Oryctolagus cuniculus: one gene and its partners. The protein of the gene in region 1 interacts with the protein of each later gene in a pairwise test. Links are inferred from orthologs where the notes say so. Each region holds a gene or a part of one and is shown on either strand. Other genes may lie near its edges.

Region 1 (3,782 bases):
TAGTGCACACAAAAATTGTCTTCTGGGCAGGATTGTCAACAAGGAGACACAGCCGTTCTCTGAAATCCGGCCACCTGGATGTGCGTCTTGGCTCTCATACTAGCCATTTGATTATCACACTTCACCTGGGAAATGGGTAGGTTGGGGGGCTGGCATTATGGCAGAGTGGGTAAGGTGACTGGGGAGGGTAGAATGGGGGTGCTACATGTCCTGTTATGTGAAAAACAGCCCCATGCTAAACAACATTGTCCCAGCCAGCATGCCAGTGGCAAGCCCCTTGAGAAACACTGGTACTTGACCTTTAAGTTTTCTTTCAGGTTTAATTTTTCTGTTTCTGAGATTGTATTTTATGGTGTGTCTTTGAAAAGACTTAGCCAGTGGCGAAGAGGCATGAGCTTGGGAAAAGGATTTATAAATGAAGGGGTGTGTGTCACCAAGTTGTATAGTGAGTGCCTGGAAGGGGGCTAGAGGGACGGTCAGCATGGGGTGTGTCTCAGAAGGGTTTGAATTTAGAACCCGTGTTGGCAAACTCCCCACAAAGGGCCAGATTGTACATATCTGTAGCTTTGGGGCTCTATGGGTCCAGTCCCAACTAATCAGTAATGTTGTGGCTCAAAAGCAGCCACAGCCAATATGTAAATAGGCAGGGCTGTGTTTTGATAAAAGGTTGTTGGATTCTTTTAGAGCCGTTTGCTGACCCATTGTTTAGAACAGAATTTTTTTTTAAAAGATTTTTTTTATTTACTTGAAAGGCAGTTGGGGAGAGAGAGGGAGGGAGGGAGGCAGGGAGAGAGGGAAGGAAGGAGGAAGAGAGAGAGAGAGGGAGGGAGGGAGGGAGGGAGGGTAGAACACAATTTTAGCAGTGCTGACTATAGGGCATGGGGGTAGAGAAGGAAGGGAAGACAAACTGTGTCGGATAAGTCAGCAGCAAGAGGAAACTGCCCTTCCCCCAAAGCCAGGGAGGCAGGGTGGCTGGTGAAAGCCCTGAGCAGAGAGGTTTGGAATCTGGGCCCAAGGAGACTGGTCAGTGAAATTGTGCTTCCTTGGTGCAGGCCATCCTGCACAGGGCATGCCTGTGTCTGGCCTGTCCTTTCCCTGGGCCATGGTCTTTCTCTCAGTTGCTCAGTTGGGGTAAAGTTCTTACCCCTTACCCTCCAGGAAAGGTGTGACCTGGTCTTTTTACCTTTTCTGGTCTCTGCTGCAGCCAGACAAAACCATTTGCCTGCTTGTCTCCACTTTTGCTGTGCCATTTATTCTGCCTGGAAGGTCTTCCACTTGTTGCCTGTATAGTGAACTCCTGTTCTTCCTGTAATGCCTGGTTTATACATTGCTTCTGTTAAGACAGTACTACCTTCCCCTACCACATGCTGTTACCTTTCTTTTTTTTTTTTTTTAAATGAAGCTTTGTTTTGCCAAATGTACAATTTCCAAAGTTTGGTTTTTCCCCCCACATGTTGCTTGTTTATGCATCTTCAGCAGCTAGGAATAGTCCCCTGGTATTCCTTGAGCTCTATGCCCTTTTTTTTTTTTTTTTAAGATTTATTATTACTAATTTGAAAGGCACAGTTATGAAGAGAGAGAAAGGGAGAGGCAGAGAGATCAAGATTTTTCATCTGCTGGCTCACTCCTCAAATGGCTGCAACAGCCAGGGCTGGGCCAGACCAAAGCCAGGAGCCAGAAGCTTCTTCAGGTCTCCCACGTGGGTGCAGTGCTGCCCTGAGCTCTGTGCATTGAAACCAGTTGTATTAACCTTCTGCTGAGGAGCTCTTGAAGAGCTGCCTTGGTGAGGGAGCTGAGAATCTGGTCTCTCAGAGACCACAGCTGGGTCTGTAAACTGACAGTAACTTCTGTAACAGAATGTATCATAAGTAGCTTTGTCAAAGAAGTCTAGGTTATTAAAAGTGCCCTGAACTGTGCCTTTGTACCATTTCTTCTGCTTGGTCTTGTGCCTAGATTTGTTCATGGGGTCTTTACCTTTTTTTTTTTTTTTTTTTTTTTTTAATGTTTTATATTATTTACTTGAAAGGCAGAGTTACAAAGCACTGTGGCTTAGCAGGTTCATCCTCTGGCTGCAGTGCCAATGCTGGTTTGAGTCCCTGCTGCTCCACTTCCAATCCAGCTCTCTGTTAACAACCTAGGAAAGCAATGGTAGGGAACCTAGAAGACGCTCCTGGCTCCAACCCAGCTCCGGCTGTTGCAGCCATTTGGGGAGTTAACCGGTGATTAAAAGATTTGTTTCTCTATCTGTAACTCTGCCTCTCAAACTAATAAATAAATCTTAAAGAGAGAGAGAGATATCTTCCATCTGCTGGTTCACTCCCCAAATGGGCCATCTTTGTGGCATTCCAAGAAACATTAGTAGGGAGCTGGATCGGAAGTAGAGCAGCCAGGACTAACCAGCACCCACATGGGATGCCAGCACTGCAGGCAGCTGCTTAGCCTGCAATACCACAACACCGGCCCCAAGAGTCTTTACTTTTCTTATCCAACTTCTTTTTTTTTTTTAAGGAGTTATTTATTTGAAGGCAGAGTTACAGGGAGGGAGAGAGAGGTCTTACACCTACTGGTTCACTCCCCAGATGGCTGCAGTGGCTGGAGCTGTGCCAATCCAAAGCTAAGAGCCAAGAGCATCTTTGGGTCTCCCACGTGGGTGCAGGGGCCCAAGGACTTGGGCCATCTTTCACTGCTTTCCCAGGCCATAGCAGAGAGCTGGATCGGAAGTGGAACAGCTGGGACTAGAACCAGCGCCCATATGGGATGCCAGCACTGCAGACGGAGGCTTTACCCACTATGTCACAGCACCGTCCCCTTTTATCCAGCTTTACAACATCTTTCTTGGCATCCTGGTGAAGTTCAGTGAGAAACGACAACCATCACAGCTTTGCTAAGATGTGGGACAGAAAGGCTGTCACCTTTTCTTTAACTCCCCATCCGTGAATGCACCATACGAACCTGACTTGCTGGACTGAGTTCCTTAGCAGCAGAGACTATGCCTTAATTATCACTGGGGTAACTCAGTTCCAGGGCAGCATATGTCTAGTGAGTAAGACAGAAATAGTGAGTGAGTGAACAGTGTTGTTTGAGTATCCCAGGATAAAATGATGTGTTTTCGGAGTGAGTGGTCGTGGAAGGAATGTGAAGGGATCTAGAAGGGAGCTTCTCCTCTCCTTACTGCCCTTCTCTGTCATCTGCACAGAGCCTGACCCAGATGGAGAGGGAGAAAATTGTCTGGGAGTTTGAGCAGCTCTATCACTCTCTGAAGGAGCATGAGTACCGCCTCCTGGCCCGCCTTGAGGAGCTCGACCTGGCCATCTACAACAGCATCAACGGGGCCATCACCCAGTTCTCCTGCAACATCTCCCACCTCAGCAGCCTGATTGCCCAGCTGGAGGAGAAGCAGCAGCAGCCCACCAGGGAGCTCTTGCAGGTAAGGTGTGGAGAGCCATGCTCAGGCAGTTCCCCCTAGAAATAGTCTCCCCTCTCCTTTGCCAAGGTGAACCCAGGACCCTGTCTCCTTGTCAGCTCGGCAGGCATAGCAAGGGCTTGCCAAGCTCTGCATTGGTGTGGTGGAAGGAAACCATGTACATCAAGCTCTGAGTGATAGAACTTGAATCAGTCAGCAGCATTGTCTCATGGAAGGATAAAAGGATGATACTGTCCGGGCCTGCCTTGCACTGATAAGTGGTTCTTATCACAGGCATAATTCTTCTAGGGGCCTCACTGACTACAGTTGCTCATTATGTAAGGAGAAGCTTGTCACTTAAAGAATCCTCTTCATTACG
Region 2 (3,782 bases), on another chromosome or scaffold:
TTCTGGTTGGCCTCCGCCACCTTCTTCTCGGCTGCCTGTGGGTTCACGATCTCCAGGCCCTGCGGGTGAGGCAGAGGGGACCGTGGGGGGTGGGGACGCCAGAGAGCCTCCCGAGGGTGTCCAGGCTTCAGCTGGGCCCAGTCCCTGGGAGTCTCCGGTCCCCTGGACAGAGGCGACATCCCGCCCGGGAACAGAGCCCCAGGGGGCTGCGGCCGAAGCCGCGCCCAGCGGTGGTTCTTCCCACGAGGGCCTCTGGGTCCTGCTCCCGCTGCCCGGGCGCCTGTGTCCCACGGTCCCACCGACCCGCGCTGTCTCCTCTGCTCTTCACCTCCTCCCCAGAGCCCGACGCTCCTGGGACTTGGTGGGCGCCCAGTGGACACTCCCTGGCTGGGCAAGGGAGCGTGGGGACGTCACCCATCACCATGGGGCACGCTGCCGTGTGGTGACTGCACGGAGCCGCGGACAGGTGTGGCGGCTCGGACGGAACCCAAGTGGGAACCCAAGCCCACCTGGCAGCTTTCTCGTGACCGCCTGGAGCCCCAGAGGGGGCGGTCGCCCGCACCAGGAACTGGGCAGCCCCAGGCCTCAGTCTGGGGCTGGTCTGTACACCCTCCTCACACCTACTGTGCCGGGACCACATGGCCAGGGAGAGGGGACCCCATCGTGCCGCTGCCTCGCGGGGAAAGGGAAGGAGCTTGGCTGCCCCCCACCCCCCCAGCAGGCCCTGGTGGGGGGCGGCCCGAGCCGTACCTGCAGGGGCGTGAAGGCCACACTGGAGGCTGTGCCTGAGGTGCGGTCACGGATGGTGGACTTCCCGCCGTACACCACGCTCTGCTTCTGCAGGGTCCGCTGTGGGTGGGAGGGCACGGGATGAAGGGGCAGCCCCGCCCCCGTCCCTCACCCCGCCCCCACCTGGGCCCCGCCCATACCTGCAGCGTCTTGGAGATCCTGGCTTTGGTAGCCTCGTTCACCTGCGTCTGCCGCACGCGCCCACTGCCCGACTTGCCCAGGTGGCCCAGGCTGAAGCCCAGGTCCTCCTGGTAGGCATCCTCCTCGATCTGGGGGGGGGGGTGCCCGCAGTCAGGTGGGGGCCCTCAGCACACAGCGCCCTCTCTCATGCTTGGGGGGAGAGGGTGCGAGGGCAGCACAGGTCTCAGCACTGGGGGCACTGAGCCCAGCCGCAGGACCAGAGGATGCTCAGAGCACAGGGGGCGGGTGTGGCTGAGCCTGGGAGGCCGGTAGGCCTGGGTCCTGGGAGCCTGGTGAGGGTGGGCAGCGGAAGGGGAGAGCCAGAGGGGCCCTGGGTGGGGGGGGCGGGGACGGGGCAGGACTGGGGGCCCTGGGTGAGGGGCGGGGCCCACCTCCCCGAAGCTCATGCGGTTGGCCTGCTTCCGGATCTCCGTGAGCCCCAGCCGCTCCTTCATCTTGCGGTACCTGGGAAGGCGGCGGGTCACGCGCGGGCAGAGAGCTCGGGCCTCTTCCTCTCGGAGGCCCCCGCCCGCGCCCCCCGGGTCTCTCACCTGCGGCCGCCTCGCTTCTTCCGCTGCCCATCGAGGGGCGCAGGCAGCGGCTTCACCTGCTTCACGGGGGGCGGCTCCTGCCACTTGTCGAACTTGCGCTCTATCTCGTCTTTCAGCTCGTAGCCCACCTGGGGGGGGACAGGGAGGCGGGGGCGGCTGCACCACGGGCCATCAGCCCGCAGCACCCGACGGCCTTGGCGGCTCTTGGGTGCCCTTTGAAGCTGCTGCTTGACCAAGCTCTCAGCCCCGGACAGTGGGTGGGCCGGTCGTCCAGCTCACACCCGCGATGCCTGCTGCTCTCCCGGCACCGCCCTCAGGTCCCGCAGGCCCCTGTTCAGCACCTCCAAGGTGCCAGGTCCTCCCGAGGGCACAGAAGGTGCCCCATCACCGCCTCACCCCCCGGGGGCTGGGGGGGCTCCAGCCTCAGGCCGCCTGCACTGACCGTCCCACCTGGAACTTCCCCCAGGGGCCCTGGGACTTGACGCTGACTGCACTCGGGTGCAGGGCAGAACTTCCTGGCCAGAGAAGCCCTCCCGCCGACCCCTCACACCCCAGATGCTGTTCTTCTTCTTGGCATTTGTGGGGCAAGTGTCACCTGGCTGCTGCCCCAGCCCCTACTGGAGTGGGAGCCCCAGAGGCGGGGCTTTGTGTGCGTGTGTGCAGGGGTGGCGGCTGGGCACCTGAACACTGCCGGGCTGGGAGCCGGCACACAGCAATGCCCAGGACGGCAGGTGCGGCTGCCGAGAGCACAGAGCCAGCAGGGCCCAGGTCCTGGCCCGGAACGGCTGACATCACAAGGCAAGAGGGGTGTGGCTGGGGTTGTGGGGTGGGGAGGGCGCCCTGGGGTCACGAGGTCCCTGACGGAGGGGGGGTCTGCAGGGGCTCCTGGCTGGCTCTGGAGACAGACAGGAGCTCCGAGCCAGGGAAGGGGTGTGTGTGCCCCGTCAGGGCAGTGCTCCTGGGCTGGGTCCCCAGAGCGAGCCTCACCTTCCCCTCCGTGCTCTCGTGGAAACTGTCCACGCGGGCTGCCAGCGTGCACTTGGCGGCCACCAGCCGGGCTGCTTTCCGCCGCAGATCCTAGAGCAACGGCAGGGGGACGCGGAGTCTGTGAGCCGGACAGATGGACAGAGACAGGGCTGCTCCTCCCCGAGGGGGCTTCACTCACACACACACACACACACACACGAGGACCTCTCTCTCTCTCTCTAACACACACACACACACACACACACACACGGCCCCTGCTCCCAACAGCCCCCTCCCATCGTGGGAAGGAGGCCAGGGCCGGAGGAGCCGTGTGCTGGGGTCGCTGTGGCTGAGGGCGGAGCCCAGAGGAGGACGCGGAGGTTCCCGGGGGAGCACCTGCAGCCTGTTCTCAACCCTGCTGTGCAGGTTCGCCCTGCACACGGACCCTCATCAGATGCTCGAGCACCAGGCTGCTGCAGTCAGCGCCCCCACTTGGCAGACGTGGAACCTGCAGCCGCACTGTGGCGTAGTGGGCTAAGGCTCTGGCTGCCGGTGGCGCCGGCATCCCGTATGGGTCTGGTTCGTGTCCCAGCTGCTCCGCTTCCGATCCAGCTCTCTGCTATGGCCTAGGAAAGCGGTGGAAGATGGCCCAAGTCCTTGGGCCTCTGCACCCACGTGGGAGACCCGGAAGAAGCTCCTGGCTCCCAGCTCTGGATCGGCACAGCTCTGGCCGTGGCAGCCATTTGGGGAGTGAACCAGTGGCTGAGAGATCTCTCTGACTGTAACTCTGCCTCTCAAGTAAATAAATAAAACCTTCTAAAAAACATGTGGACACTGAGGTTCCCGGCCACCAAGCGGGCCATGCTGTGGTGTCTTCGGCTTGTGCAGGAACTGAGCTGGAACAGCACGGGCGGGAGGGGCCCTCAGCCACAGGGCAGCAGCGTGGCCTGCGGAGGGCCTGGCTCTGGGCAGCAGTGCGCAGGTGGTGGGGGGCAGCGCCCGGGCTCCAGGGCCTGGGATTCTGGGCGGCCTGCTGGCACCCTGGGATCCGTTCCCGTCTGCTGCCTGCGGACTGGAGGACAGTGATGGGCGGGGCGAGGCACGCGGCCAGGAAACGCCGTCCACACGAGGGACGGGAGCCAGCACCGGGGACAGCCAGGCCATCTGTCCCGCAGCGGCTCTGGCTCCCATCAGTCCTCGCGCCCCAGGATGAGCCCGAGGGAGCCAGGGGCCCAGGACACTGAAGGCAGTGAAGGTGGGAATCCGGGAGACTCAGACCCTGGACAAGGTGCTGAG
Region 3 (3,782 bases), on another chromosome or scaffold:
AAGCATTTGAACAGGATAAAGTTTTGATCTCATGAAATTTACCTCATCTTGGTTTGAGATAAAAGGTAAATCAAAATGCACACATAATTATATAATTATTATTGTATATGTGCTACAAAGGAGAAATAAAGTGAAATATGGTTGATAAGTACAACAAAGAGAAGTACAATTTAACCTAGTGAGAGGATTAGGGAAAACTTAAGGGGAAAACCAGGAAAATACAGTACCACGCATAATAAGAATCAATATTTCTCACATCAATAGTGTTAAATTCTGACAAGAATCATCCAGAGTAAAGGTCCAAAGAGCCTTCTGTGGAATCAATAATATGGAGATGGTTGGGGACGTTGGCAGAATGGCGCTTCTGGAAGCTGGGTTGGAGGCAGGTGTCTGGGATGTGAAGACAGCAGATAGGGGCAAATCCTTCTAGGTGTTTGAAAGATGAGAGAGACGTGGGAATGCTTGAATACTAGTGGAGTGGTTCTAGCAGAAAAGTTGAAGGCCTGAGAGACAGAGAGAGATAACCCATAGTAAGAGGTCCCTGAAGAGGTGGGACAAAGAGGAAGGACACCTCTTGCATTTTCTGAGGAGGGATATAAAAAGAGCAGGAACACTTCTCACTTTGGATTGCAAGACATTGAAGCAGATCCACTTCATTGGATTCTGAATTCTTTGCAAATTAAATGAGATGTTTTGCTAGCAGTGAGAAGAAAGGCAGGGAGGTCCAAATTTTTAGCGATAATACAGAGTTCACATGGGTCTTGGAGAGAGAAGGAGAATAAAATAATGAAAATAAGTGTTCTGGACCTCACTGATGTTGATAACAGTTGTGTCTATCAGAGTCTCAATCTAGTGAGTCTGGATATCATTTCACTTTGCAACAATTATCTCTGTAATTGAAAATAAAATTGTTCCTGCATGACAGTGCTCCCCTAGACATTCTAAACCTGGTGTAAAGAAACTATAGTACTTTGCACATTGGCTGTGGTAACCTGACCTATTTAAATCTGATGTGAATAGCTTGGGAGGAAGATTCCTCTTCTGATACTGTTTTTCTGGGCTGTTAGATATATGGTGTGTCATACACAGTGTCTGGAGTAACAAGAGGCTGAGTCACTTTGGGTGTCCAAAGGATAGACACAGAGAGACTGAATTTGACATATGCTATTAATAGTCTAGAGGAGGGGCTGCCGCCTACGTGCAGGTATCTCATATGGGTGCCAGTTCAAGTCCTGGCTGCTCCACTTCCAATCCAGCTCTCTGCTATGGCCTGGGAAAGCAGTGGGAGATGGCCCAAGTGCTTGGGCCCCTGCACCCTCTTGGGAGACCCAGAAAAGGCTCCTGACTGCTGGCTTCGGATCTGCTCAGCTCTGGATGTTGTGGCCATCTGGGGAGCGAACCAGTGGATGGAAGACCTCACTCGCTCGCTCTCTCTCTCTCTGCCTCTGCCTCTCTGTAACTCTGGCTTTCAAATAAATAAATAAATCTTTAAAAATAGTCTAGAGGAAAATGACCACTCAGAGCATTTAGCAGTCTTGCAAATGGTCTTATGCCCAAATTTGACACCTCGTAATTCCCCTGAATCACCCATAAGGCTGTAAACTCCATGAAAACAAGATCATTGTCCCATTTACTACTGTATACTTAAAAGGGTCAGCAGTTAAATGTTTATTAAATGAATAAGAAATGGAAAGTTTTATAGGGGCTATAGCTTATTGTGCTGGGTACCACTTGTCTCAAAGAATAACAATGAATGGAACCTAGGAAATGTGTCACTCTTCTTTATGGTCCCTCCCTCTGAGAGGTGAAAGCAGACAAGGTGTCACAAACCGTTGTCTTTATTCTTCCTTAGCATTCAGCCCTGATGGATGCTGAGGAGCCTCAGTATGGAACCTCCACCCCCATCCCTGCCAAAGAGGAATTCAGCGTTACCCCTGAAGCTCTCATGCGAAGCAGCCAGATCCCTGCCTTGGGACCAGAAGCTCAAGAAGGCCAGGACCTATGCAATAACTGGGACGAGGGGCAGAGACTCTCAGCGACCCAGCCAAGCGAGTTAAGGGATGTGAGTGACTATGCAGCCGAGACCGTGCCTTCTTTCCCCAAGGAAAGTTCCGTGGAGGTGGACAGCGATCAGGAAACCTTTGTGGCTGAGGTCAGCAACACTCCAGAGCTGCAAGAGCCAATGGCCCAGAGCCTGGCAGATGAACAAGCAAGGATCCCAGCTCCATCAGAACTCCAGTACCATCCTATACAGAGTGAATGCCCAGGCATGGTCCCAATATCCAGTGATTTGGGCAGCAGAGTGGAGAAGGAATTTCAACCAGAACTGACTTCTTTGACATTGGAATTTGAACAAGCAGAAGAGAAGGGGCAGACCTCTCCTGGTAGTTCTCAAACAATGTTTTGGCCTCTGTGCAAAGAGCCCACCACAGAGACCAACCAGGCTGAAGGTTCTGAAAGCAGGATTATCCCGCAGGGGGAGAAGCTGCAGTTGGAGGAGGTTCAGGAAAGTCGAGGGCAAGAAGAGCCATTGCATCCCCAGGGAGCTCAGGGGCTGGAGGATTTGGGACAACAGACAGTGGAGTCTCAGGGGACAGAAACTCTGCAGAATGTTTCTTCTGATGGACTTTGGGAAGAGCAAGAACAAATGGTAGAGCAGGTGACTGGTAATGAGGAAGAAGAAAGGCAAAAAAAGGAACAGGTCCAGGAAGATGGGATACTGGGAAGACAAGGAGAAACAGAGAGGCTGGTTGAGGAACTGGAAGGTCTGAATTGTGGTGAGCAGGATGAAGAGCATAGGGAAAAGAATGCTGAGCATCAGAAAGGTCCAGAACAGGCAGAGCAAGCAAAGAGGGAATTGAGCGGGCCAGAGAAGAGGAGGGTCAGCTCTCAGGACATGGAGTGTCAAAGCTTGGTGGGCAGATCAGAGGAAATAACTAGACAGCAAGAAGGTGAGGGTCTCATGGGAAAAGTGATGTCAGTGGAGGGGCAGGAGGAGGAGGAGGCATTGTCAGATGAGCAGGAGCCAGGAAATTGGGATGGGAGCTTGCAGGGAGCAGTGGGAGAAGAGAGATCAGAAGAGGAGGAAGAGCACCATGGGCCTCCCACACTGGTGCTGGTACCCTCTGAGATCTCTTCTCCCTTTGACTTCTTTCCAGATGGCTCTTATCCCATGACTCAGGTTCCTGGGACTCAGATGGAGCCCAGGGCTGTGGAACTGTCCCCCATAGTTCTGACCCCTTTACTGGAGCCAATAGAATGCTCCCACCAGCCTGTTTCTCTACCAGACTGCTTTCCTAAAGTGGAATCACCTGACAATGAAACGGCTCAAGACACTGAAACAGCTCAAGAGAGCCAGCAAGAAGAATCTGAACTGAGTAAGGAGACAGCATCCAGCCAGGGGACTGAGGTGGTCCCGGGTGATACATCTGTGACTCCTTCAAGGACATTGGATGCAGCTTTATCCAGTCCAGCTGAAGTCTCTACTATCACAGCTGCATCATCTACCAGTCCCCCAAGTCCTTCTCCCAGGAGTGAGACCTCCAGAGCCCCTCTCTCTACTGACAGTCCATCTCTCTGTGAGGCTTTCAAGATTCCCCTGGATACCCTCCATGGTTTCCCCTCTGCAGAGGCCACCATGAATCCATGTGCCAGCTCCAACAGATCCAGCCTTCAGAGCCCTCCAGCCAACTGCACAGGGGCCATCCAACACCTACGGAGCAACTCCTTTCCAGGCTCTCACAGGACAGAGCAGACTCCAAACTTGGTGGGAATGTCGCTAT

Evidence for each region. The genes of interacting proteins can lie anywhere in the genome.
Region 2: the proteins of TRIM27 (region 1) and PRPF31 interact in binary tests that used the Homo sapiens proteins (3 or more experiments, as listed by UniProt). The two-hybrid records come from large-scale screens. The link is inferred for Oryctolagus cuniculus from reciprocal best matches to the Homo sapiens genes TRIM27 and PRPF31.
Region 3: the proteins of TRIM27 (region 1) and ARHGEF5 interact in binary tests that used the Homo sapiens proteins (3 or more experiments, as listed by UniProt). The two-hybrid records come from large-scale screens. The link is inferred for Oryctolagus cuniculus from reciprocal best matches to the Homo sapiens genes TRIM27 and ARHGEF5.

Annotation. Positions count from the first base shown.
Region 1 is NC_091436.1:154,131,978-154,135,759, reverse strand, and holds part of TRIM27 (zinc finger protein RFP), read left to right. Parts: intron 1-3,196; coding exon 3,197-3,427; intron 3,428-3,782. UniProt on the Homo sapiens protein: E3 ubiquitin-protein ligase that mediates ubiquitination of various substrates and thereby plays a role in diffent processes including proliferation, innate immunity, apoptosis, immune response or autophagy.
Region 2 is NC_091449.1:4,557,530-4,561,311, forward strand, and holds part of PRPF31 (U4/U6 small nuclear ribonucleoprotein Prp31), read right to left. Parts: intron 2,598-3,782; coding exon 2,508-2,597; intron 1,649-2,507; coding exon 1,521-1,648; intron 1,435-1,520; coding exon 1,362-1,434; intron 1,059-1,361; coding exon 930-1,058; intron 850-929; coding exon 751-849; intron 60-750; coding exon 1-59. UniProt on the Homo sapiens protein: Involved in pre-mRNA splicing as component of the spliceosome. Required for the assembly of the U4/U5/U6 tri-snRNP complex, one of the building blocks of the spliceosome.
Region 3 is NC_091434.1:179,402,138-179,405,919, reverse strand, and holds part of ARHGEF5 (rho guanine nucleotide exchange factor 5), read left to right. Parts: intron 1-1,852; 5' UTR 1,853-1,864; coding exon 1,865-3,782. UniProt on the Homo sapiens protein: Guanine nucleotide exchange factor which activates Rho GTPases. Strongly activates RHOA. Also strongly activates RHOB, weakly activates RHOC and RHOG and shows no effect on RHOD, RHOV, RHOQ or RAC1.